Linked DNA regions of Arabidopsis thaliana. The protein of the gene in region 1 interacts with the protein of each later gene in a pairwise test. Each region holds a gene or a part of one and is shown on either strand. Other genes may lie near its edges.

Region 1 (7,440 bases):
TGTTGCTGCATCCTTTGAAGGATCCGGCACCCTTGCTGACTGCTCTCCACATGGGTTGGTTGCTAACCAAGTCATGGTCGTTCTCTCTACCCCGGAACATCTTCCAGAATCACCAAATTGTATTGCTGATAAGCGTGCAACCTATGAGTTCGGTTACCAGCTCAAAAGCACAGTTCGCAACCTCCCTCCCCTTGCGGAAGCACTTGCCGCCTTCTCTCAGACATATATCAGGATGTTTCCTAACCATCCCTTCTTCGGGACGTTTGGGTCGAAAACTCTTGATCATGGCCCGTTCTGGAAAATAAGGCCTATTGGCTCCAGCCTTACCGATAACAGCTCCTACCTCACTATCCCATCGATTGTCAAGCAAGCATTCAAAGGCCCAGCCACGTAGGTGTTGTTGCCTAACAGATATCAAGCAACGACTTTCATTTTATTTTATTTTGTATTTGGATAGCAACAATTATTCCTGTCGGATTTGTTATCGTTTTGGTGCATTTTTCATGGTTATTTATGTTTCGAAGAAAAGTAAACCAGATCTTATTTAGATTTCTGCAGTTTTCTGAAGGAAGTTTTTTCTGTGGCTTTATATATGTATCGAGTGATTTGGATCCCTCTGTACAAATATTCAACCGTTTTAGAATTGCCCACGGAACACTACAAGGACAAGAAAGAACATAACGACCAAAAACGAATAAGTCCCTAGGGTGAGAGCTTAAAGACCGTGAGGAAGGTTTGTGGTTGCTTCTGTCATTAGAGTCTCCTCTGCTCCATGGCTAAACCATAAATAAAGAAGAAGAAATTAAATAAAATCAATCACATAATGGACTTGTAACAAAAACAAAAATTGGTGGGTTTGTTTTACCTGAGATAACTGTAAGCAGACATACGGTAGAGACAAGTGAAGACAAGGACGTGCAATCCTATTGTGTAGAAGAAAGCAAATGTCCTTGCGTATCTGAAAGATCCAATCATGAAATTGAAAATAACCGAAAATTCTGTGATCGAGTATGAATGTGAATAAACTTGAGAGCAAGAGGATTACTTGTTTCCTAGAAGGAACCGCCCACTGCTTAGCGTAATCCGATCTCTGATTCCCAAATCTTTGATCCGTTGCTCTCTTTCCTATCAAACACATATAAATAGGAAAGGGTTAATGTTTAGGAAAGAAATATAAGGCTTGTGTCGATGATAGCAGAATGTTTTATTTTTTACCTTTTTCGAGAATGCTGCAAAAGGGTTGATGTCATCTTCGTAAATTTTCTTGTATTTTGATTCGACATCCGAGCTGAATCCACTTTCAAGATCTTCCACATACTGAGATTGGAAAACGATATCAACCATGGAAAAAACCCGATCACGAGACAGAAAAGGTTCAAGGGAAATGTATCGCAGAAAACAAATACCTTTTTCGATCCTCGGGAAACAACTTTATCATGGTTATAGTCTTGGACATAACGGATTTTCCCATAGAGTTTGACGTTGTCTGCTTTGGTCTTCTCCAATTCGTCTGTGAGAAAACCTATCTTCTCTTTTAATCGCCTTATTTCCTGCAATGTTAAGAGAACACATAAAATTCAGTTCAAATAAATTTAACTGGAGATAGAGAATACAGAGGGAAGAGGATCATTTATATGTACAACTAACTGTACCTCTTCTGTTTCCCGTAATCGTGCTCGGAACCGATCTCTTTGGCTGCAGATAACTTTTAGCATTGAGCTTTGATCTTGCTCTGATGGAACATGTTTCTGATCCATAGGCTAATAAAAGGAAACACAAAATGATAAAGAGCAGTAGTTAGTGATAAGTCTAATTGTGAGGTATATAATATACCATATCATGGAAATACCCTTAGTTGTATGAAAACTTTTTAATGGTTTGACAAGAAGTTCAGAGGTATTTTGCTTTTGAAAAAAAAATAGATCATGGTAAAATATATACGTACCACGATTCCCTAGCAATATTTTAATTCACGCCATAAATAGAAGGCAGAGTGAGCATACATGTTAGACCGTTAAGATTATCTAGTAGAGAACTTAAAGCGATAGGTTACTGTTTATCTAACTCTTAGTTCTGAACGATTCCATCCTTTCTTTTACTTTTGGGAAAATTTTCCTGCTTTAAGAGTATTGCATGATAAATTACACGACTCATTGACTCATATATGCACAGGGCCAGAGAGAAGTACCTCAGACTGCTCAGCCACACCTGCTTCTGAGAACTCCCATTCATCAAATAGAGCACCTTTTCGCTCTTTTGAACCGTAACCCTGTGTAACAAGTAAATAAGGTTTCAGTATAATCAAAGACTTTGATCGAGTTTCTCCTCCTTAGTAGCAGTAGCACAGATACCTTTTAACTTAAAATGGTAACTACACACTCTTACGTACCTTCAAAATATCATCCTCCAACTTTTGTATCAGTCTTTGTTGTTCATTAACCTTAGCTGTCAGTTCTTCTCCCTTGGCTTCAGCCTTCTCAAGCAAGGAAGCTTTCTCAGAAAGTTGAACCTGGGAAAAGAAGTGGTGTGAATCGACCAGTGACTTTACTTGTGTATGTTCACTGAAAAGGGAAAGAGTAACGAAAAGACAGAATTACAGATGGTGGTGGTTCATTCCGTAGAGGTCATGTACCTTTAACTGAGTGACCTCATGTTCCATTTTTCTGTTTTTATCAAGAAGAAGCGACTCCATTTTGCTCATCTCTTCACCAGTGGTAGCAGCATCCCAGTCTTCAGCCTCAATTGAATTGTAACCTACAGCCTAATATGCAACAATGATATTACTACATACGATCGTACCGTTACCAGAAAGAACAAGGTATGGATCTGTGGCAAGAAGTTAATAAGAAGTTAAACTAAGTGAGCACCAAAAAACACTTGAAATGATGAATACCTGCAGAATTTTCACTTTTTTGCGCAAATCATCAACTAATTTTGCTGATGGTCTTTCTTGAAGCTCTTTCTTCATCTCTTCAATGATAGTATCCTGGTTTAATACCAAATGACGGTAAGCTAATATTAGACATTGAAGGGACCGGAAACTAATTTTCAGAACAAAATATAATTTCTCAGCATAAAAGACAAAACATAGCACAAATTTCACCTTTTTATTGAGCAAAGAATTCAATTTCTTTATCTCGGCAACATGACTTTCTCGCTCATTAGCTAAAGCTGTCTCAACATTGTGAATCTCCATATTAAGCTCCGAAATAATCTTCTCTTTTGCAGTTAACGAGTTCTCCAGCATACTATTCGAATCAATATTATCACTGTAGAGAAAGAGCATAACAAAAAAATTAAAACAAAGCAAAAACTTAGATAAAAGTTATTTGACTCCTTGTTATATGGACGCATAAGTGTCACCTCACCTTTTCTTGTTATCAGTATCTTCATTAGCTGTTTGCAGCTGAGAACGCAGATGTCCCTGTTACAAACCAATAAACAAAATTAGAGAGCTAAAAACGGTGGTTTATCTTAGGGCATTCCCTTAATTCAAACAAAGAGAGCATGATATGAAAGACCTTTTCCCTCTCAAGAGTAAGGAGTCGGGTCTGAGCACGCTCCACTTCATCCATCAATAGACTAACTTCAGATTGCTTCCCCGCGGTCTCTTCGTCTGATGGTTTAGACAAAGGTGACATATATTAACAAGACAAGAAGGAACAATATGTAAGGGAGACCATTCCAATTATGAAAGCACAATATGAGTCACCATATTAAGGCTCAATGCACCACCTGATTGAGCACGGAGTTCAAAAAGTTGGTTCTGTGCTAACTCATGCAATTTTTGCATAGTGGAGACGCTGTCTTTTGCTTGCCTTAACTGATCTTGCAAAGCTTGCTCCCTGTTAAACAGTGAACAAGGAAAGGTTGGTGCTTCCTCGAAAACTTTCTAAACACCCAAAGCATGCAGAAGAGAATTTTTTTTTTACCTATCCTTTAAAAGCTCCATCGTTTTCTGGTTTTCCTCAGCCAGATTTCGTTGCTTGATCTCAACAACTTCTTTGATTTTTTCTTCCATCTGAATCCAAATATAACAACTCGATATCACTGCTAATCTTCGACAGTTATTCGTTACAAGATCACAAAATAGCATCTCTATATAAATCATGCTTATGGCTCAGTGTATAAATTTGCATTTGACCTCCTAGAATAGACTGAAAAATAATCAAGGAAGCTGTGCTTTACATTCATTTAGTTTTATCCCTATATCAATTAGAAGAAGAGGTTAAAAGCAAGCTGACCTGTTGCTCAAGCTGGCGGTTCCGTTCTTCAAGCCTTCTTATTGTGGCCTGCTGATTTTTAAGATGAGTCGCTTCTGTCCTAAACTCCTCAAGTTCAACTTTCATCTTTCGATTTTCAGATTCCACTTCAGATAATTTACGATCTTGCTCCTGGAATACAGCAATTAGTTGGTTCTCAGGCTAAAGGACTTTAGGTGTCTATTATGTTAACATTAGATAAGTGGATAATTACAGCAATAGAAGCAAGAGCAGGAAACGGATCAGGTGCTTCATAGAGTTTCTGATAGATATTTAGGAAAGCATTCTCCCCAAACTTGGCCCTCTTGGTAATATTATCTACTTCTTCTTGATATCCCTTGAGGAGGGAATTAAACATACTAAGTTTGTTCTCAGGCGAAGCTTTCTTGAAGTCTGTTGTTACCAAGATAAACCAAAGAATATGTTAACATCTCTTCGCTGGAACCTATCGAGGTCCCTCAGGAGAAAATGTTGAAGTGTTAAGCAATATAAAAGGTGAAACAAAAAAGTACCTCGTGTGCTCTCTGCAAGCTTTCGGCGATTCTTTTGGCTGTTTTCTTGATTTTCAGCTATTCTAAGCCCTTGCTCGTCAAGCAGGCTTTTCTCCTTCTCCAAATCAAATTCTGCAACAAGTAGTTTAAAGACAAGTAAATGGATCATTCGGGAAGAGCTTTCTTCTATGATGATGTCTATCAAAACAGCGAGCAACCACAGAACCAGTTCTCTAATTGAAACTGGTTTCGTATAACAAATACAAAAGCCGGAGAATCGAGATGAAACTAGTTATCAGTACTGAAAAATGTGTTGATAACTTTTAAAGCAATAAACTGAAATTTCTCAATCCGATCACATTAAACTACCAATGCAATCTCCCCGAACATTCAGTGAGAATCTCATTAAGTCTTACTACTTAAACGGAATCCTAACAAACGAATTTCTCCTAACTACAAAAACAAGCTCATCCTCAGCTTCACTACGAGTCGAAGAAAACGAATAGATAGCTAGACATAATCTGAAACAAACCTTTCCAGAAATTGGTGACGACAGGAATGGGAGAGGAAGAAGAAGAAGAAGAGGAAGGAGGAGGAGTTTTATCTCTTTCCGATCCATCTTGCGAAACCTCCATTGTACTCGTATTCGGATCCCGATCTCGTTTCTCCGAAGAACACAAGCAATACTTCGATACGAAGAAAGTTTCTGGGAAGTGATTTCTTCTTCGAATCCGACGAATGAATTAATGAGTTTTCTTATTGTTGTTTTGTTGAATTTTTACTACTCCGATCGGATCTTCTGAGTTCAGATACATTAGAGTTTAATGGTGGTAGAAGCGTAATTCTTATTTATTTTTTTGTTATGAGTGTGATCCTAAACAGGCTTCAAAAACGTAAGGTCCAAAAGATATAGAATAACCAATGGGCTATTCCTTGCGCCATTCATAGGCCCAGTATTGATTTAGTAGAATAAATTCATGTTTATTGCACATCTAAGTTGAAAACATTTGTCAAATTTTGTTATGACTATTATTAATTAATAAAATTTTAAGTTTAAATTCTAATTTATTTCACTGGTTAGAAAATTTTAAAAGTTTATTTTTTTTCCTTCAGTTCTTTTCTTTGTAATTTGTTAGTATTAAGTAATATTACTTTACTAATAAAACCAGAATATTACATTAGATATATTTTTCAAAATTTTATTTTAAAGTTTGCAAGTTTGATTCCTTATATAGAGGAATAATGTTTGAACATATTATCTCTTATCTACAAATAATTTTAATAGAAATTTTATGAATAGAAAAATGTTGAATTTAATATTTTAAAATTTAGCATAGCCTGTTTTATTTTACTTTCGCATTTTTAGGATGTATATTTCTTTTTTATTCATAATTTCTTTAATTTTCTTAGTCATTAAATTAAATTCTTTGTATCTTGTATATATGTGTGGATTAAACCAATCCCAAAAACGCGTTTACATATTACTTTTAAGTAGCTTAAAATCTCTCACAATCAGTAAAATCTCTCACCTTCCTTAAACAAAAATCAATTTTCAAAAAACCTTCCTCCTTTTAACAAAAAGTGCAACGTACTAGTTTTAAAAGTCTTTTACTCTTTTTTACAACTTTTATGATTTTTCCCAAAGTGCAATGTACTAAAAATTAAACATTTGTAGATCTCTCGAAGCGATCCACCATCAACCATATATATACCCACCCACCCTCCATTCTTAAAGCATCTAACAACAAAAATCTATCTTCAAAACCCTAATTAATTGATTTACGATCTCGCTTATCAAAAGATCGATCAACACAAAACTGGTTAAAACCTGACGCAAGATTTGGTTGAAGCTACTTTACAATGGAAAAGCAATGGACTTCTGGTCTTTTCAGCTGCATGGAAGACAGTGAAACTGGTAGAAATTCTATATAAATTTAATCAAGTTGTCCTTTAATCTTTATACATATATAGATCTATTGTCAGGATTGTATAATGATTTGTTCCTTTTGGTTTGTGCTGGATAAGCTTGCCTCACATGTTTCTGCCCATGCGTCACTTTCGGACGGATCGCGGACATTTCCGACGAAGGAAGGACCGGTAAGCCATACATTCACATATGTCATATCTAAACAATGTGTGTGTGTGTGAATTCACGTAACGTCGTATATATAATGTACGTAGGTTGTGGGAGATGTGGGGTATTTTACGGGCTAATATGTTGTGTGGTCGGCTTACCTTGCTTGTTCTCATGCACTTACCGGACCAAGATCCGAAGCAAATTCGGGTTACCGGAGTCTCCAACTTCGGATTGCGTCACTCACTTCTTTTGTGAATGTTGTGCTCTTTGCCAAGAACACCGTGAACTCAAAACCCGTGGTCTTGACCCCTCTATTGGTAAATTGCATTGTTTTGTGGACTCACTTTCTATTGAAATAATTAGTGTCTTTCATACGTTTGATTAATTATTTGATGTAACTTTATTATTTTTATGTGATAGGGTGGAGTGGAAATATGCAACGGACGATGGCTCCTCCTATGAGTCAGCAGATGATGGGTTGATTAAGAAGATTTCTGATTTGCAATATGATTTGAATTAAATAAGTGGTTCACGAAAACAGCACTTTTAAGTGTAGTTTTATATTGAGCTAGCATATTATTTTAAATTCTTTTTCAGATTTTATCAATAT
Region 2 (5,034 bases), on another chromosome or scaffold:
CTGGCCGCTGATATTTATCAATCTTTTGTTTGTGAAAAAGTAAAGCCACTTATTTATTGCTTATGTCCTATATGTTTCCTAACACTTCAAAAAAAACAGAGTATCAAAACATGATATTCAAGAACATTTATGCTCGAGAGATCCGTTGTAGATCATCAATTATTCATTTTATAACTCCATTCGATTGGTAAGCTAACCAGTAGACGATTCGGTATGAGAAAAATTAAGAATTCATGAATCTACTAGCAGAGATATTGATATACTGTTGTGGTTGCAAAACAATAACTCGAATTTAAAGGGCTCAGTTGCTTAAAACATCCTATTTGATCCACAGCTTGACTCATATATTGTTTTGGTACTGGCATCTATAATTTAATACTGCGTTTTCTAAATTAACAAAATCATTCTTGCTGCATAAGATTGCTCTGGTTTTGAAGCCATCAAGTTTTCTTATTTTGTTAAAAATTTATGATCTTTAACCATAAGTAATATATATAGTGAAAACATGAGAAAATTTGGTGGATTCTAGAAAAGCACTCTCCGTCAACGTGATCGATATTATGATGAAATGATTACAAAGATGCAATTATATATATCCACGAGCAACAAGACGAAGACAAAAATGTAAACAAGTTAACATATGATTTTGGAATTAGATCAGTAATAAACAAACATATGCACAACTACATGAGAAGTAAAAACTAGTAAACGAGAAATCTCTAACTTAAGATGCGTGGTATGTACGTAACTCCAAAAGAACAACTTGACATTTTTTTTTTTTTTTTTTTTTTGAATGTAATGTTAAATTATATTCAAGAAAAATAACGTTTTTGATACAAGGCTTTGAAAGTATGAAAGAACAACTTGACTATTTGATAAACAACTTGACTCATATATTGCTCTGTTATTAAAATTTTAATACTGCGTTTTCTAAATTAAATTATCATTCTTGCTGCATAAGATTGTTGTGGTTTTGTAACCATCAAATTTTCCTTTTTTGTTAAAACTCTGATCTTTAGTAAATTGAGAAAGCTACCTCTACTATACCCTTAAAATCTCTAAGTCTGGTCTGTCAAAGATTATTTTAATCATCAAACAGTGTATTTTCAGTTTTTTCTCAAGATTTTCCCTCAGTTTCTTTGAATGAATCTGGTTTCTTTCGGTGAAAGAGTGCTGGTCGTAATTGAGTTTGGTTTGTAATATATTACTTAAGTGTCGTGTCTGTTAAGTTAAAGTAGTTATGTTTGTTGTGTCACAAGAAAGAAGAGTCATAACTCTTGACTTTTCATGTCTGTTGGTTTGTATTTAAGTTAATTGTTGTAAACCTTGTAAAACAGTTGTTGTATTTCACTTTCTCTATAATAGAAAGACAAGTTCTTCTCTTTATTGTTATGTTGACGATCAAACCAATTGTGATACAAAGTCTGATTCTCTTTCTCTGTTCTTAACTCTGTTCTGTTTCTAGAAGGAGATTCAGTTTCTAACAAAGTGGTGGATTTGCATGGAAATTTCTCATAGATAACCTCTTGAAGAGTAAGCAGCGACATGACACATGAGGCAAGAACTATTCAAATTCTTCGAAAACTTGTTGACATTTATAAACTCAACACACACACACACACAAAAAAACTACATATTTCTACTATTACGACAGCAGAAGAAAACAGAGCATGTTGTGATCATGATGAGTCTTATTCCTACATTGTCACTATAACGAGACTTTCATATATGAACAATAAATTGGAGTTTCCTGGAAAAATCAAGACAAGAAAGAAAGGACAGATAAAGAAGTTGACGCATTTATATTTTTCTAACGTCTAGTAGTCTGAATCTTTACTTTTCTTCACATTTGATTATTCAACAATGTCAAATCAGGGGTTACTTTTCAAGCTATAAGAAGCGAATAAGCGATGAGAGAAAACTCAAAGAGAAACAAGTTTAGAGAGAAAGAAAGAGAAAGGTAGAAGATGAAGTTCCAGGAGGGTGTGTTCTTGGTGGTTATTTTCTTCCTTGCATATACTCAGCTTGTGAAGGGGCAACATCAACCTCGCGAAGATTGTAAACTTAAATGTGGAAACGTCACAATAGAGTACCCTTTTGGTATTTCTACAGGTTGTTACTATCCCGGAGATGATAATTTCAATCTCACCTGTGTCGTGGAAGAGAAGCTACTACTCTTTGGCATCATTCAAGTGACCAATATTTCTCACAGTGGCCATGTAAGTGTACTGTTTGAACGATTCTCTGAATGCTACGAGCAGAAAAATGAGACTAATGGAACTGCCCTCGGGTATCAGCTGGGTAGTAGTTTCTCTCTCTCCTCCAACAACAAGTTTACTTTAGTAGGATGTAACGCTTTATCACTTTTGAGCACTTTTGGAAAGCAAAACTACTCAACTGGATGCTTGTCATTATGCAATTCTCAACCAGAGGCAAATGGAAGATGTAATGGTGTAGGTTGCTGCACAACAGAGGACTTCTCTGTCCCGTTCGATAGCGATACATTCCAATTTGGCTCAGTTCGCTTGAGAAACCAAGTTAATAATTCCTTAGATCTATTTAATACTTCGGTATATCAGTTTAATCCTTGCACCTACGCTTTTCTCGTTGAAGATGGTAAGTTTAACTTCGATTCTTCAAAAGATCTTAAGAATCTGAGGAATGTCACGAGGTTCCCTGTGGCACTAGATTGGTCTATTGGAAACCAGACATGTGAGCAAGCTGGAAGCACAAGAATATGCGGTAAGAACAGCTCATGTTACAATTCTACTACTAGAAACGGGTATATCTGCAAATGTAATGAAGGTTATGATGGGAATCCATACCGTTCAGAGGGTTGCAAAGGTACTTCATATTAATTTCTTTGCTTTCTTTCTTCTTTTGAGTGTTTATAATCTTCCTCATACGTTTTTGGTTGCATCTTGTGCACTTATTCCTTTGGTCAGACATCGATGAGTGTATTAGTGATACACATAACTGTTCGGATCCAAAAACCTGTAGAAACAGGGATGGAGGCTTCGATTGTAAGTGTCCATCTGGTTACGACTTAAACTCCAGTATGAGCTGCACGAGGCCCGAATACAAACGGACTCGAATTTTTCTTGGTAAACACTCTTCACTGGTTCTAGATTCTCTTTAAATCAACTCGCTCTAATCATCTATGCATGATGTTATCAGTAATCATAATCGGCGTCTTGGTCCTCCTGCTTGCTGCGATCTGTATACAACATGCAACGAAGCAAAGGAAGTATACCAAGCTCCGACGACAATTCTTTGAGCAAAATGGTGGTGGCATGTTGATACAGCGACTTTCAGGAGCAGGGTTGTCAAACATTGATTTCAAAATCTTTACTGAGGAAGGCATGAAAGAGGCAACTAATGGCTATGATGAGAGCAGAATCTTGGGCCAGGGAGGTCAAGGAACAGTCTACAAAGGGATATTGCCGGACAACACTATCGTTGCTATAAAGAAAGCTCGGCTTGCAGACAGTAGACAAGTAGATCAGTTCATCCACGAAGTGCTCGTGCTTTCACAAATTAACCACAGGAACGTGGTCAAGATCTTGGGTTGCTGTCTAGAGACTGAAGTCCCCTTGTTGGTCTATGAATTCATTACCAATGGCACCCTTTTCGATCACTTGCACGGTTCCATTTTTGATTCTTCTCTTACATGGGAACACCGCCTCAGAATAGCGATAGAAGTCGCTGGAACTCTTGCTTATCTTCACTCCTCTGCTTCTATTCCAATCATCCATCGCGATATCAAAACTGCAAATATTCTCTTGGATGAAAACTTAACTGCAAAAGTAGCCGACTTTGGCGCTTCTAAGCTTATACCAATGGATAAAGAGCAGCTCACAACTATGGTGCAAGGCACTCTAGGCTATTTAGACCCAGAATACTATACCACAGGGCTTCTGAACGAGAAGAGCGATGTGTATAGCTTTGGGGTAGTCCTCATGGAACTGCTCTCAGGTCAAAAGGCATTGTGCTTTGAACGGCCACAGGCTTCAAAACATTTGGTGAGTTACTTTGTTTCTGCCACGGAAGAGAATAGGTTGCATGAGATTATTGACGACCAAGTGTTGAACGAGGATAATCTGAAGGAGATCCAGGAAGCTGCAAGAATTGCTGCAGAGTGTACAAGGCTAATGGGAGAGGAAAGGCCAAGGATGAAAGAAGTAGCTGCAAAGCTAGAAGCCTTGAGGGTCGAGAAAACCAAACATAAGTGGTCGGATCAGTATCCTGAGGAGAATGAACACTTGATTGGTGGTCACATCTTGTCTGCACAAGGCGAAACCAGTAGCAGCATTGGCTATGATAGCATCAAAAATGTAGCAATATTGGACATTGAAACTGGCCGCTGATATTGCTCACAAAATCACATGTATCTCTTTTGTTTGTAAAAAAAGAAAACCACTTATTTGTTGCTTCATCAATATGCTTTGAGAGCTTGTTTGTTCATCATCAATAATCATGTTCATATTTTCCTTTACTTGGTATACTATGGTGCAAGGCACTCTAGGCTATTTAGACCCAGAATACTATACCACAGGGCTTCTGAACGAGAAGAGCGATGTGTATAGCTTTGGGGTAGTCCTCATGGAACTGCTCTCAGGTCAAAAGGCATTGTGCTTTGAACGGCCACAGGCTTCAAAACATTTGGTGAGTTACTTTGTTTCTGCCACGGAAGAGAATAGGTTGCATGAGATTATTGACGACCAAGTGTTGAACGAGGATAATCTGAAGGAGATCCAGGAAGCTGCAAGAATTGCTGCAGAGTGTACAAGGCTAATGGGAAAAGAAAGGCCAAGGATGAAAGAAGTAGCTGTAGAGCTAGAAACTTTGAGCGTCAAAACAACCAAACATAATTGGTCGGATCAGTATCGAGAGGAGAATTTACACTTGCTTGGTAGCAACATCGTGTCTTCCCAAGGCGATACCAATAGCCGTGGTTATGACAGCGTCAAGAATGTAGCATTGCTTGACATTGAAGCTGGCCGCTGATAAATTTTGTTTGTTAAAAAGTATATT
Region 3 (4,468 bases), on another chromosome or scaffold:
TGAGAAAATGAAAAAGTCAACATCATGTATGTGTAGATTCCTAATGGCCAAGGAACGTGACCTGAACGCAGCTGCTCATAGAATATTCTGGTTTTGCAAAATTTCCGTCCCTAATTGTCCAAAAATCTAGAGATATAGGTTATGGTTTTTTCTTAATTTATTTTATACATAAGTTATGTTCCTCGACTATATCTACGACATGATTGATTGAAGCTCGAGAGACACAAGTTGAGCTTCAATACACAACCATTTAAGAAACATATAACCATTTAAGCGAAAATTATTATTAATACTTTATCCACCTTTGTAACTAACACACAGAAACATGATCCTGTGACATTTTACGTGTTCCAGATATCACTTGATCCTGTGACTTTTTAGCATTTTCCAGGGTACCTTAAAAGTCGAGTTATCGATCTCTGCTAGTAATATCTGTTTCTAAATTGACAAGTGAAAACGAAGTCGTTTCGTCAACACCAAAAGCATTAAACACGTCAAAAAGACAAAACCACCTTTGTCTTCTTGCGTTCTTCGCCCTCAACCCACCACTATCAATTTAAGACCAATCTGAAAACCATCATGACGACAAGGATCATACATTTTTTCTTTGCTTTCCTTCTCCTTGCCTCACTTTTCCTCAAAGGCAGTATTCTAAAATACATTCGTACATATATACGATGTTGTGAGAAGCCGTACAGTTGTATAACACAACTAAAGTAGCAATCTATTTGTTAAATTTTATGGTGAGTGTGGATTCATTCAAAACTTCCATCCCCATCACTACCTTCATCCATCCGACCATTCAAGCTTCGAACCTTAGATTCTGTGGATCAAACCATTGGTGGATATCCCGTGGCTGCCTCAATTCTATTCTACTTTCCATTCAAGATGGTTCAAAGTTCTACTTCAAGCAGATATTTTGTGAATGGATTTAAGTTATTATTCCTGTCTATTTGAGTTTTGTAGAATTTGCTTTCTAGTATACATACTTCACCATGTATTATAATTGACTCAACTTTGGTCATCCAAGTCTATACTAGTTTATACTTTCATATGGTATAGTTCGGGACCGAACATGGGGTCCTATATCTAGGAGATAGTGGAGCAGCTGACGACACGTGACGAGCTCCTTAATGAATAAAACTCCACATAAACAGAGCTAACAATAGGACAACCATCCTTCCATCTCTCCGACTTCCCATATTGTTTTGTTTCTCAATTTTCTATTTAAAGACATCTAAAAAATGAAGAAAACAAAGATTATTAATTTCTACAAAGTAAACTCATCTTATTTTGATTGTAATTTCGAGTTACTAATACATTAGCAATGAAGATCAGTCCATGGATACTCATAGCCATCATCATGATGATCTTAGCATCATTTCCTTCTCCGATCAAAGTCGTTGGTGCAAAAAAAGAGCTACCATTTTGCAATCTGGATCTTCTAGCTTGCGTCCAACCTTTTCTAGTTAACGGTCACGGAGGCAAACTGCCTAAAGGCTGTTGTGAGAAAATGAAAAAGTCAACATCATGCATGTGTAGATTCCTTACGGCCAAGGAACAGAATCTAAACGCAGCTGCTCATAGAATATTCTGGTTTTGCCATATTTCTGTCCCCAATTGTCCAAAAATATAGGGGTTATAGGTTATGTTCCTCGGCCATAATTATGACACTTTGTACTAAAATGTTATAACACCTATGGGCAAGGTGTTTCTAAATTGGTAAGTCGGAAAACGACGTCGTTTACAAAATCCGATCTGCACACACACTCACATTCATATGTCGTTCTTCGTCAACGTCGGTGAAGAAAGCATAAACACGTCAAAAGACAAAAGCACCTCTGTCTTCTTGCTTTCTTCGCCCTTTTACTTCAACCCACGAAGATCAATTCAACTAAACCAATCTCAAAACCATCATGAGGACAAGTTTTAGACTTCTCTTCTTCGCTTTCCTTCTACTTGTCTCACCTTTTCTCAAAGGTAACACCTTTCTCTTCTACTTGTTCATTCATTTGCTGATTCTACTCTGTTTTTGTTCACATGATCTTTGTTTGAATTCATTGTGATGGGTTTTGTTTGTTTTTAGTTGCTTTGTGCCAATCGGATTCGGAAGATTCTGGCTTCGAAGTTTCTGATGTTGGTGAAGAAGAGAGTGATGCAGAGGAAGTTTTTGGTTTGGAACTTACCTCAGCTCCTGGAATTGAAACCCTTTGCGTTTTCCCCAAGAACAGTGCAAAAAGTACAGATTTTTACTCTGTTTTTAATCTAATTTCTGAAATTAGGCTTCTTCTCAATTTGGTTTGTCTGATTTTCTGTAGTAATAAAAGCTGGAGTTGAGACTGAGCTGCTTGTTGGAATGAAAAATGATGGTAATGAAAGTGATTTTTCTATCAAATGATTACTTGCAAAGTTAGCTATAAAGTTTCTAACTTTGTGGTTGGGTTATATGAATAGGTCAATCCAATGTAGATATTGTTGCTGTTAAAGGCAGTTTACATCTTCCTTTTGATCAAAATGCTGTTCAGAATCTCACTGCTCTGGTAATTAATCATCTTTTGCTTCTTCTCACATTTATTGCTTGTGTGATCTCACTTGTCTTTCCATATTAGTTTTTCCCTTTGTTAGGTTCTTTTCATTGCCTGTTTTGTCTCATCTCATGTTACTCCACACTATGCACTCTTTGTTAGGTCATTCATGGTTTAGTAACAATACCTGAACTTGTTACATCCCTGTATCTAAATGCAAGAAAGTCTCTCTCTAGCCTTTAATCTTTATCATTTATGTTTTGATACCAGATACTTGCTTTGGCTCTAGCTATATTCCATTTCATTTCTAGATATAGAATCTTACAATGGCTTTTGCTGAATATAGAGTTTTCTCCTCTTTTCCTTTTCTGGCCTTTGCTCTTTAAGTTTGCTACTTATTATTTGGTCATTTTGTCGAATCATCTAAATGTAGAGTTTCAGCAACGCGTCTGTGCCAACTTCCGCTCAAGCTACCTTGCCATATGCTTTTGCTGTCAGCAAGTTCCTGCAGGTATGTTTGTTAATCATATAGTTCTTCTAGTCTCCAAGATGACATTAAAATATAGAATAGAATCCGAGGTAACCATTTGCTCGTGCAGGCGGGTGCTTTTGATTTTGTTGGCACCATCATCTATGAGATAGATGGTAAGCCATACCAAAGCATCTTTTATAATGGAACTATTGAAGTTGTTGAAGATGGTCCTCTCTTCAGAATGGAGTCAGTCTTCCTTAGTGGTCTTTTAATCTTTGTTATCGCTTTTCTCGCCATCTATATCCAAAATGTTTTGAAGCATATGACCAAGGTACATCCTATTTCGCTATCTTATCGCACTTTCATTCCATGGTACTAACTTTGAGAATGGTTACTGTGAAAATGCTTTGCGCAGAAAACAAAGAGAGCACCAAAAGTTGAAGTTGGAACCGCAACTAAAGATGCTTCGCATGATGAATGGCTTGAGGTATTCGTTGCACAAGACCTAATAACTTTCTCCATAATGGGTTTTAACTTTTAATGTATTGAACATTTTGGTATTGATACATTGCTCTCAATGTATTGTGTAATGCAGGGTACTTCGTACACTCAATCTTCGAGTAAGTCAAAGAAGAAGAAGTAGATCTCACACGCTTTGTTAGGGGGCTTGAGATAAGAAACCGAAAACACACGAACGATAGTAACGTTGCAGTTGTTGGTAGAGATAACTTCACAGAATCTGTAATGCTTTCTTTACTCTCTCTAGCTATAGATGTTGCAAGGAAACAATTTTCTTTAACTTTTGTAATTTGTCAAGATTATTTTCTTTTGTTTAAAATGATAATTCTCTTTCGAAAGTTCATGTATATAGTAAAGAAAAGTTGAATAATCATTAGATTAACAATATAGGTTGAAATTTTGTATTTGGAAATTATATCGTATAATCCAAGGTTTAAAATATGAGAGTTGTGTCATTAGACTATTATGATGCTCTATGAAGCTAATCCTCTCAGTCTCTACAATTATTTAAGAGTGGTTTGGGCTAAGTACATGTACATTATCGGAACTCTTATTTATCTCCAAACCAATGGGCTTCTTTTTACGACATTGGGCTTAATATTCCTGGCCCGTAAATAAATCAATGAAACGACTACTTAATATCTTATCCAGTAAAAAGGTAGAGAAAAAAAAAACACAATATTCTCTCTCTGCCTCGGATCCACGCAACTATTAACCCTAGTTAGATTCAACACTAACCACAGTTAACACGAACCCTTTCAATCTTCCTCCACGTGTCAAAATCAACGGTCACAAAAATCATTTCCTTCTCTTTATAAAACACTACCAAAACCCTAATCTCTTTCACACAATCACAGAACCTAATCTTCTTCTCCAATCAATCTCAGAGAAAAAAAGAAATGGCAACAAACCCTAAAGTCTACTTCGACATGACCGTCGGTGGCAAATCCGC
Region 4 (5,075 bases), on another chromosome or scaffold:
GAAGATTATACAACAATCTTTGTCATAAACTACGTAAAGATAATGAAGTAGCTAGTCCTGTATATATTATCTTATGTTTCCTGGTACTAGTTCTGGTGCGACTGCTAAAATCTAAATTGTCGTCTTTAGATTAACATTTGTTTTTTTTTTCTCTCTATGAAAGTACTAAATTTTCATAGGATAAGCCATTCAAAATATCAATTACAGTGACTATTGAGTATTGACTAATATTATTTGAACTCACAACTCACCTACATGTATTAATGTTTGCATTATTTTAGTGATTGCTAAAACACATAAGTGTCACATGACATATATATCATTGTTTAGGCTAAACATATTATATATATGGTCTATATTATAGATATCGATCCAAGTCTATTAGCCAATCCAACACTAAAACAATCCTCTTGTAAATGAGTAGCTCATGACGACATTATTCTGTTTCATTTTGGAAGCATTAGCATCATTTCCACACACACGTGTTGACCTAAAAAGGCCTATATTTGTTCTATTTATAAAGCCTTAAATTAAAGACTCAAGCAATATCACATGGATCTAATATATAATCATATGTTGCATAGAAAAAAAGAACAAAAAAGAAATAGAGAGAGGTGGTTGAATGATTTAGGCTTTACATCAAACCCACTGTTTCAATAATTTTGTTAGGTGTGTGTGTGTATGTGTGAATACAGCTAGAGAGTTTCACGAAGAAGCTGGTTGGTCAAAACTTTTGACTCGAAAGGAATTGCTGACAAATCGATCAATCAATTTGCTTCAGAGAGAAAAAAAAAACACATAAACACAATTGACATCTCTCTATCTATACGGTCCGATACTAGACTTGGCGAACCAAACTAAAGATACAGTAGGACACTGTGACTGTCTAGGACCACCAGAGATATTCAGTGAAGTTTCTATAGTCATCATAAGTCAATCTTGCTGACTACATCATACTAATAGGAACTATAGTCGTAAGGAACATATATACCACATTAAGCTTGTTTCTTTTGATTAACTCCTCAAGTTGTTTTCAAAATACTCGACGAACTAGACTGAATCAGCAATAAGACCAAACATGTAAAATAAACGTTGCAGAAGTTAATGCTCATTAGTTTTCTCTTTTGTAAGAACATACAAACACACAGGTGACAAGTTTTGGCCAAGAATTACAAAATAATATGATACCTTCATAGTCATACCTCAGAATTAATGTCCTAGTCGAGAAGCAGAAGTTTGTTTTTATAGATCTTTCTTTTCATTAGAGAAATGGGTATCGGCCCAATAACATAGGCCAACCCATTTGCATTTATTTTCTCATATCCAGTAAGGATATACTTTCAAATTTTTGTATAAATGGGATTTTGATTTTTCTTTAATATGTTGAACGAATTTAGTAAACTATTCACATTATTTTATGTTCAGAACTATACTGTAAAATAACTAACGGTCAACAATAATTGAGAGAATTTGGAAGTTTTCGTTAGACTCACATCAATAATGTGACTCAAAGCTAATAATTGCAATTTCCGACAAATTTGTGGCATGGGCGTTTATGCTGTCTTCTACTCTTCTTGTATGACAACGCACATACCCGAGCTTCGTAAATTTTATTTCTATTTTTTTCAAGTATATTTTGTTTTTAAAATGCGATTTTAGAAAGAATTTGTGTGATCAGAATTCACGGTGTAATAATAGTTTGTATGCATACTGTTGTTTGATGTGTCATAATCCAAATTTAGATAATATGTTTATGTATAATGTTAGAAATAAAAATGTAGTAGAAATTTACGTATATTTTCACTGATAATAGAAATTTTCAAATATCCTTAAACTGTCAATATCCAATTTCTTTATGTTTAAAATATTTCAACAGCTAATTTTCAACCGCTATTTATTTTATTTAAATTTATCTTGTCATTATATTTCGTTATTGATAAATATCTGAAAAAGTGGGTGACAAAAAAATTACCGATTCAAATTATTGTAATAAAATTGACAAATCAAAAGATTGAAATAGAAAACAAAAATGGACTACATTTCTCAAAATGGCAAATAATTTTTATTCATATTTATCAACCTCGAAATGACCTACATATATAGAGACACAAAGATCACAACAAAATCAACCATTCCTTTCCTTATCTTCTTCCTCTTTTGCTTTTCTAATCTCTCAATGGCTACCTTAAAACACAAACCTGTAAATTTGGTATTTTACGTTTATAATTTGATTATTATATTCTCCTCCCATAGTTCCACGGCGGAGCTCCGCAGGCTACTGCAGCCATCAAAAACCGATGGTACAGTGAGCTTTCTCGTTATCGGAGACTGGGGAAGAAGAGGCTCCTATAATCAGTCCCAAGTAGCTCTTCAGGTTACTTCTTATTTTCATTTACAAGTTATTTACTATATTTCTCGCCTGTACGCATATATATAAATATATAATGCAAATTCAATAGTGTATAATTAATACGTATTACGTAAACATATATATGCGTATGCCTTCAAGAGCATACGTGATATGAGGATCAAATTTACTGGTCTTCATATTAATGCCGGCCCTTATGTTTTTATATTATTCTTTTTTTTTCTTTTTTTTATTATTATTATTCAATTTCAATATATATTACTAATTCTTGAACACCATGTTATAAGATACCATAAAAAGAAAGAAAGTCATGTTAGAGGAACTTGAAAGATTCGGTCTGTGTTAAGAAAACAGCTTTAGTGTACGAAGATATTCTACATATGATTTTTGTTTGTACTGTTGTTTTGCAGATGAACTCAATGTGGTAAATTTTATGCTAGTTTGATGTTTTCTTTTATACTGTTGTTTTTAGTTATTTTATGCTAAATTATTTCACACGAAATTTAAACAGATGGGAGAAATCGGAGAGAAATTAGATATCGATTTTGTGATTTCTACTGGAGATAATTTTTACGACAATGGTTTAACCAGCTTGCACGATCCTCTATTTCAAGATTCTTTTACCAACATTTATACCGCTCCGAGCTTGCAGAAACCTTGGTATAGTGGTAAATGTGTGGTTCAATGTGTACATTCGTCGTTGGATCTTAATTATTAAACGATATGTGGTTCAATGTGTTAATTACATTTTCTTTAACCTAAAGTTTTAGGAAATCATGATTATAGAGGTGACGTCAGGGCACAACTTAGCCCTATGCTCAGAGCTCTGGACAACAGATGGGTTTGCATGAGATCTTTCATTGTAAATGCTGGTAATTCCTCCTATATAATATTTCTTCAAAAGTTAGAAATATTTTATTAATCCTCCAATTATTTTTTTATTTTTGTTAATTTCGTTAACTGAACAGAGATCGTCGATTTGTTCTTCGTCGACACAACTCCGTTCGTCGATAAATACTTTATTCAACCAAATAAGCATGTTTATGACTGGAGCGGTGTATTACCTAGGCAAACATATCTGAATAATCTCTTAAAGGTAACAATTTTTTAAGTAAATCTTCCTTTCTTTCTTTTTTCGTCGAAATAGAATTAATATTAACTTAGGAACGTCATTATATACGTGTTTTGGGCAAAACATTCCTTTTTCTTTTGTTATGATTGGATTTTTTTATAAAGTTATGATTGGATGTTAAACGCAGCTTTTATTTTGTCTATTTTCAAATGGAATCGCGTTTTAATTAGGTATGTAATGCGATATGATTAGAGAACAATCTGCCAATGCAACTTTTTTTCTTTTTACGAGCGAGTGACTAACGAAAGCTATAATGTAATAATATAGGAACTCGACGTGGCGTTGAGAGAGTCAGTCGCAAAGTGGAAAATAGTGATTGGTCACCATACGATCAAAAGCGCAGGCCACCACGGGAACACCATTGAGTTGGAGAAACACCTTTTACCTATTCTCCAAGTAACAAAACCATTCCATTCATATAATAAAGTTTATGCACCAATAGAAAAAATCTATCTAATTAAATCTGTTTTTTTTGTTCTCGATTTACTAGGCAAATGAAGTGGATCTCTACGTAAACGGACATGATCATTGCTTAGAGCACATAAGCAGCGTGGACAGGTAGAATAAATTTATTTATTTGTTCGTTAATTATTTTCTTATTAATCAATTATTGTAACGTAAGGGTCCACGTACGGGAGGATATAAAATGTCACCATTTTTGGTTGCATATAGTAACATACAATTTATGACAAGTGGAGGTGGATCCAAGGCCTGGAAAGGAGGTGACGTGAACTACGTTGAACCAGAAGAGATGAGGTTTTACTACGACGGACAAGGTTTCATGTCGGTTCACGTTTCAGAAGCTGAACTGCGTGTAGTCTTTTATGATGTTTTTGGACACGTTCTGCATCATTGGAAGAAGACTTACAAGGAGGCGCTTTATTTCGCTTCTTGATTCCAATTTAATCGGACGTAATTGTTTATGATCGATGTACTATGAAATTATCAATATCGTACTTCGTCGAATTTTCGAATCACATTATGATATGACAAGAACATATCAGCAGCATCAGAAAAAAAAGTCAATGAAATCTTTATTGCGTAAAAGTACAGTTTCAAACAAGATATTATTGAAAATTTGTAAGATGTGAGATTAACTAGAAATACTGCATGCATATACTGTATATACATATCGAATCTAAGCATATTAAAATGTAAATATCATCCTCTCTTACGCTTCCATATTAATTAAGTTAATTAATTTTCGTTATTCTTATCCAATTTGATTAACAAGTTTTCCCGAAGCATGCGTGCATACAGTACTCTTGTGTAGTTTGTAGGGACACAAAATGGGTCCGATTCTCATCTATAAAGATAGATAATGATTTTGTTACATGTCTTTTGTCCTGTGCTCAGATTCTCTTCAATCATGTAATATATATAGATAAGTTATAGTGAATTATGGATTATATGATAAGATAAATGATATACAACTCTATGTTGTGGATGAGATTCTGTCACATAATTTCACAAGCCCCGGATCTCTCATATTTGATCGCAAGAACACTTTTGCTCATACCAAAATTATCTCCCAAAAGAAATATAATAGTCATTCTATTAAGGCTTATCTTATTT

What was found.
Region 2: the proteins of CASP (region 1) and WAK3 interact in a protein complementation assay, tested with the Arabidopsis thaliana proteins (one large-scale study listed by BioGRID).
Region 3: the proteins of CASP (region 1) and AT2G16595 interact in a protein complementation assay, tested with the Arabidopsis thaliana proteins (one large-scale study listed by BioGRID).
Region 4: the proteins of CASP (region 1) and PAP3 interact in a protein complementation assay, tested with the Arabidopsis thaliana proteins (one large-scale study listed by BioGRID).

Annotation. Positions count from the first base shown.
Region 1 is NC_003074.8:6,334,872-6,342,311, reverse strand, and holds CASP (CCAAT-displacement protein alternatively spliced product), read right to left. Parts: upstream 5,621-7,440; 5' UTR 5,389-5,620; coding exon 5,286-5,388; intron 4,886-5,285; coding exon 4,775-4,885; intron 4,656-4,774; coding exon 4,477-4,655; intron 4,395-4,476; coding exon 4,245-4,394; intron 4,022-4,244; coding exon 3,933-4,021; intron 3,846-3,932; coding exon 3,736-3,845; intron 3,617-3,735; coding exon 3,522-3,616; intron 3,425-3,521; coding exon 3,369-3,424; intron 3,270-3,368; coding exon 3,104-3,269; intron 2,987-3,103; coding exon 2,894-2,986; intron 2,762-2,893; coding exon 2,633-2,761; intron 2,510-2,632; coding exon 2,390-2,509; intron 2,270-2,389; coding exon 2,189-2,269; intron 1,761-2,188; coding exon 1,653-1,760; intron 1,551-1,652; coding exon 1,407-1,550; intron 1,318-1,406; coding exon 1,216-1,317; intron 1,126-1,215; coding exon 1,046-1,125; intron 959-1,045; coding exon 866-958; intron 777-865; coding exon 716-776; 3' UTR 524-715; and 1 more. Other genes in the region: ILR2 (iaa-leucine resistant 2), read left to right, coding at 1-394; AT3G18470 (PLAC8 family protein), read left to right, coding at 6,614-6,668, 6,779-6,850, 6,935-7,147, 7,251-7,312. UniProt on the Arabidopsis thaliana protein: May be involved in intra-Golgi transport.
Region 2 is NC_003070.9:7,432,336-7,437,369, forward strand, and holds WAK3 (wall associated kinase 3), read left to right. Parts: upstream 1-1,899; 5' UTR 1,900-1,967; coding exon 1,968-2,844; intron 2,845-2,945; coding exon 2,946-3,104; intron 3,105-3,177; coding exon 3,178-4,367; 3' UTR 4,368-4,495; downstream 4,496-5,034. Other genes in the region: WAK5 (wall associated kinase 5), read left to right, coding at 1-11; AT1G21245 (Protein kinase superfamily protein), read left to right, coding at 4,507-5,007. UniProt on the Arabidopsis thaliana protein: Serine/threonine-protein kinase that may function as a signaling receptor of extracellular matrix component. Binding to pectin may have significance in the control of cell expansion, morphogenesis and development.
Region 3 is NC_003071.7:7,196,447-7,200,914, forward strand, and holds AT2G16595 (Translocon-associated protein (TRAP), alpha subunit), read left to right. Parts: upstream 1-1,680; 5' UTR 1,681-1,916; coding exon 1,917-1,980; intron 1,981-2,086; coding exon 2,087-2,239; intron 2,240-2,318; coding exon 2,319-2,369; intron 2,370-2,454; coding exon 2,455-2,540; intron 2,541-2,958; coding exon 2,959-3,036; intron 3,037-3,124; coding exon 3,125-3,328; intron 3,329-3,412; coding exon 3,413-3,484; intron 3,485-3,592; coding exon 3,593-3,640; 3' UTR 3,641-3,939; downstream 3,940-4,468. Other genes in the region: AT2G16592 (Bifunctional inhibitor/lipid-transfer protein/seed storage 2S albumin superfamily protein), read left to right, coding at 1-130; AT2G16594 (Bifunctional inhibitor/lipid-transfer protein/seed storage 2S albumin superfamily protein), read left to right, coding at 1,328-1,636; ROC3 (rotamase CYP 3), read left to right, coding at 4,416-4,468.
Region 4 is NC_003070.9:5,056,594-5,061,668, forward strand, and holds PAP3 (purple acid phosphatase 3), read left to right. Parts: upstream 1-1,989; 5' UTR 1,990-2,086; coding exon 2,087-2,374; exon of another isoform or gene 2,375-2,792; intron 2,793-2,879; coding exon 2,880-3,036; intron 3,037-3,132; coding exon 3,133-3,240; intron 3,241-3,336; coding exon 3,337-3,464; intron 3,465-3,767; coding exon 3,768-3,896; intron 3,897-3,990; coding exon 3,991-4,058; coding exon of another isoform or gene 4,059-4,062; exon of another isoform or gene 4,063-4,172; coding exon 4,173-4,395; 3' UTR 4,396-4,547; downstream 4,548-5,075.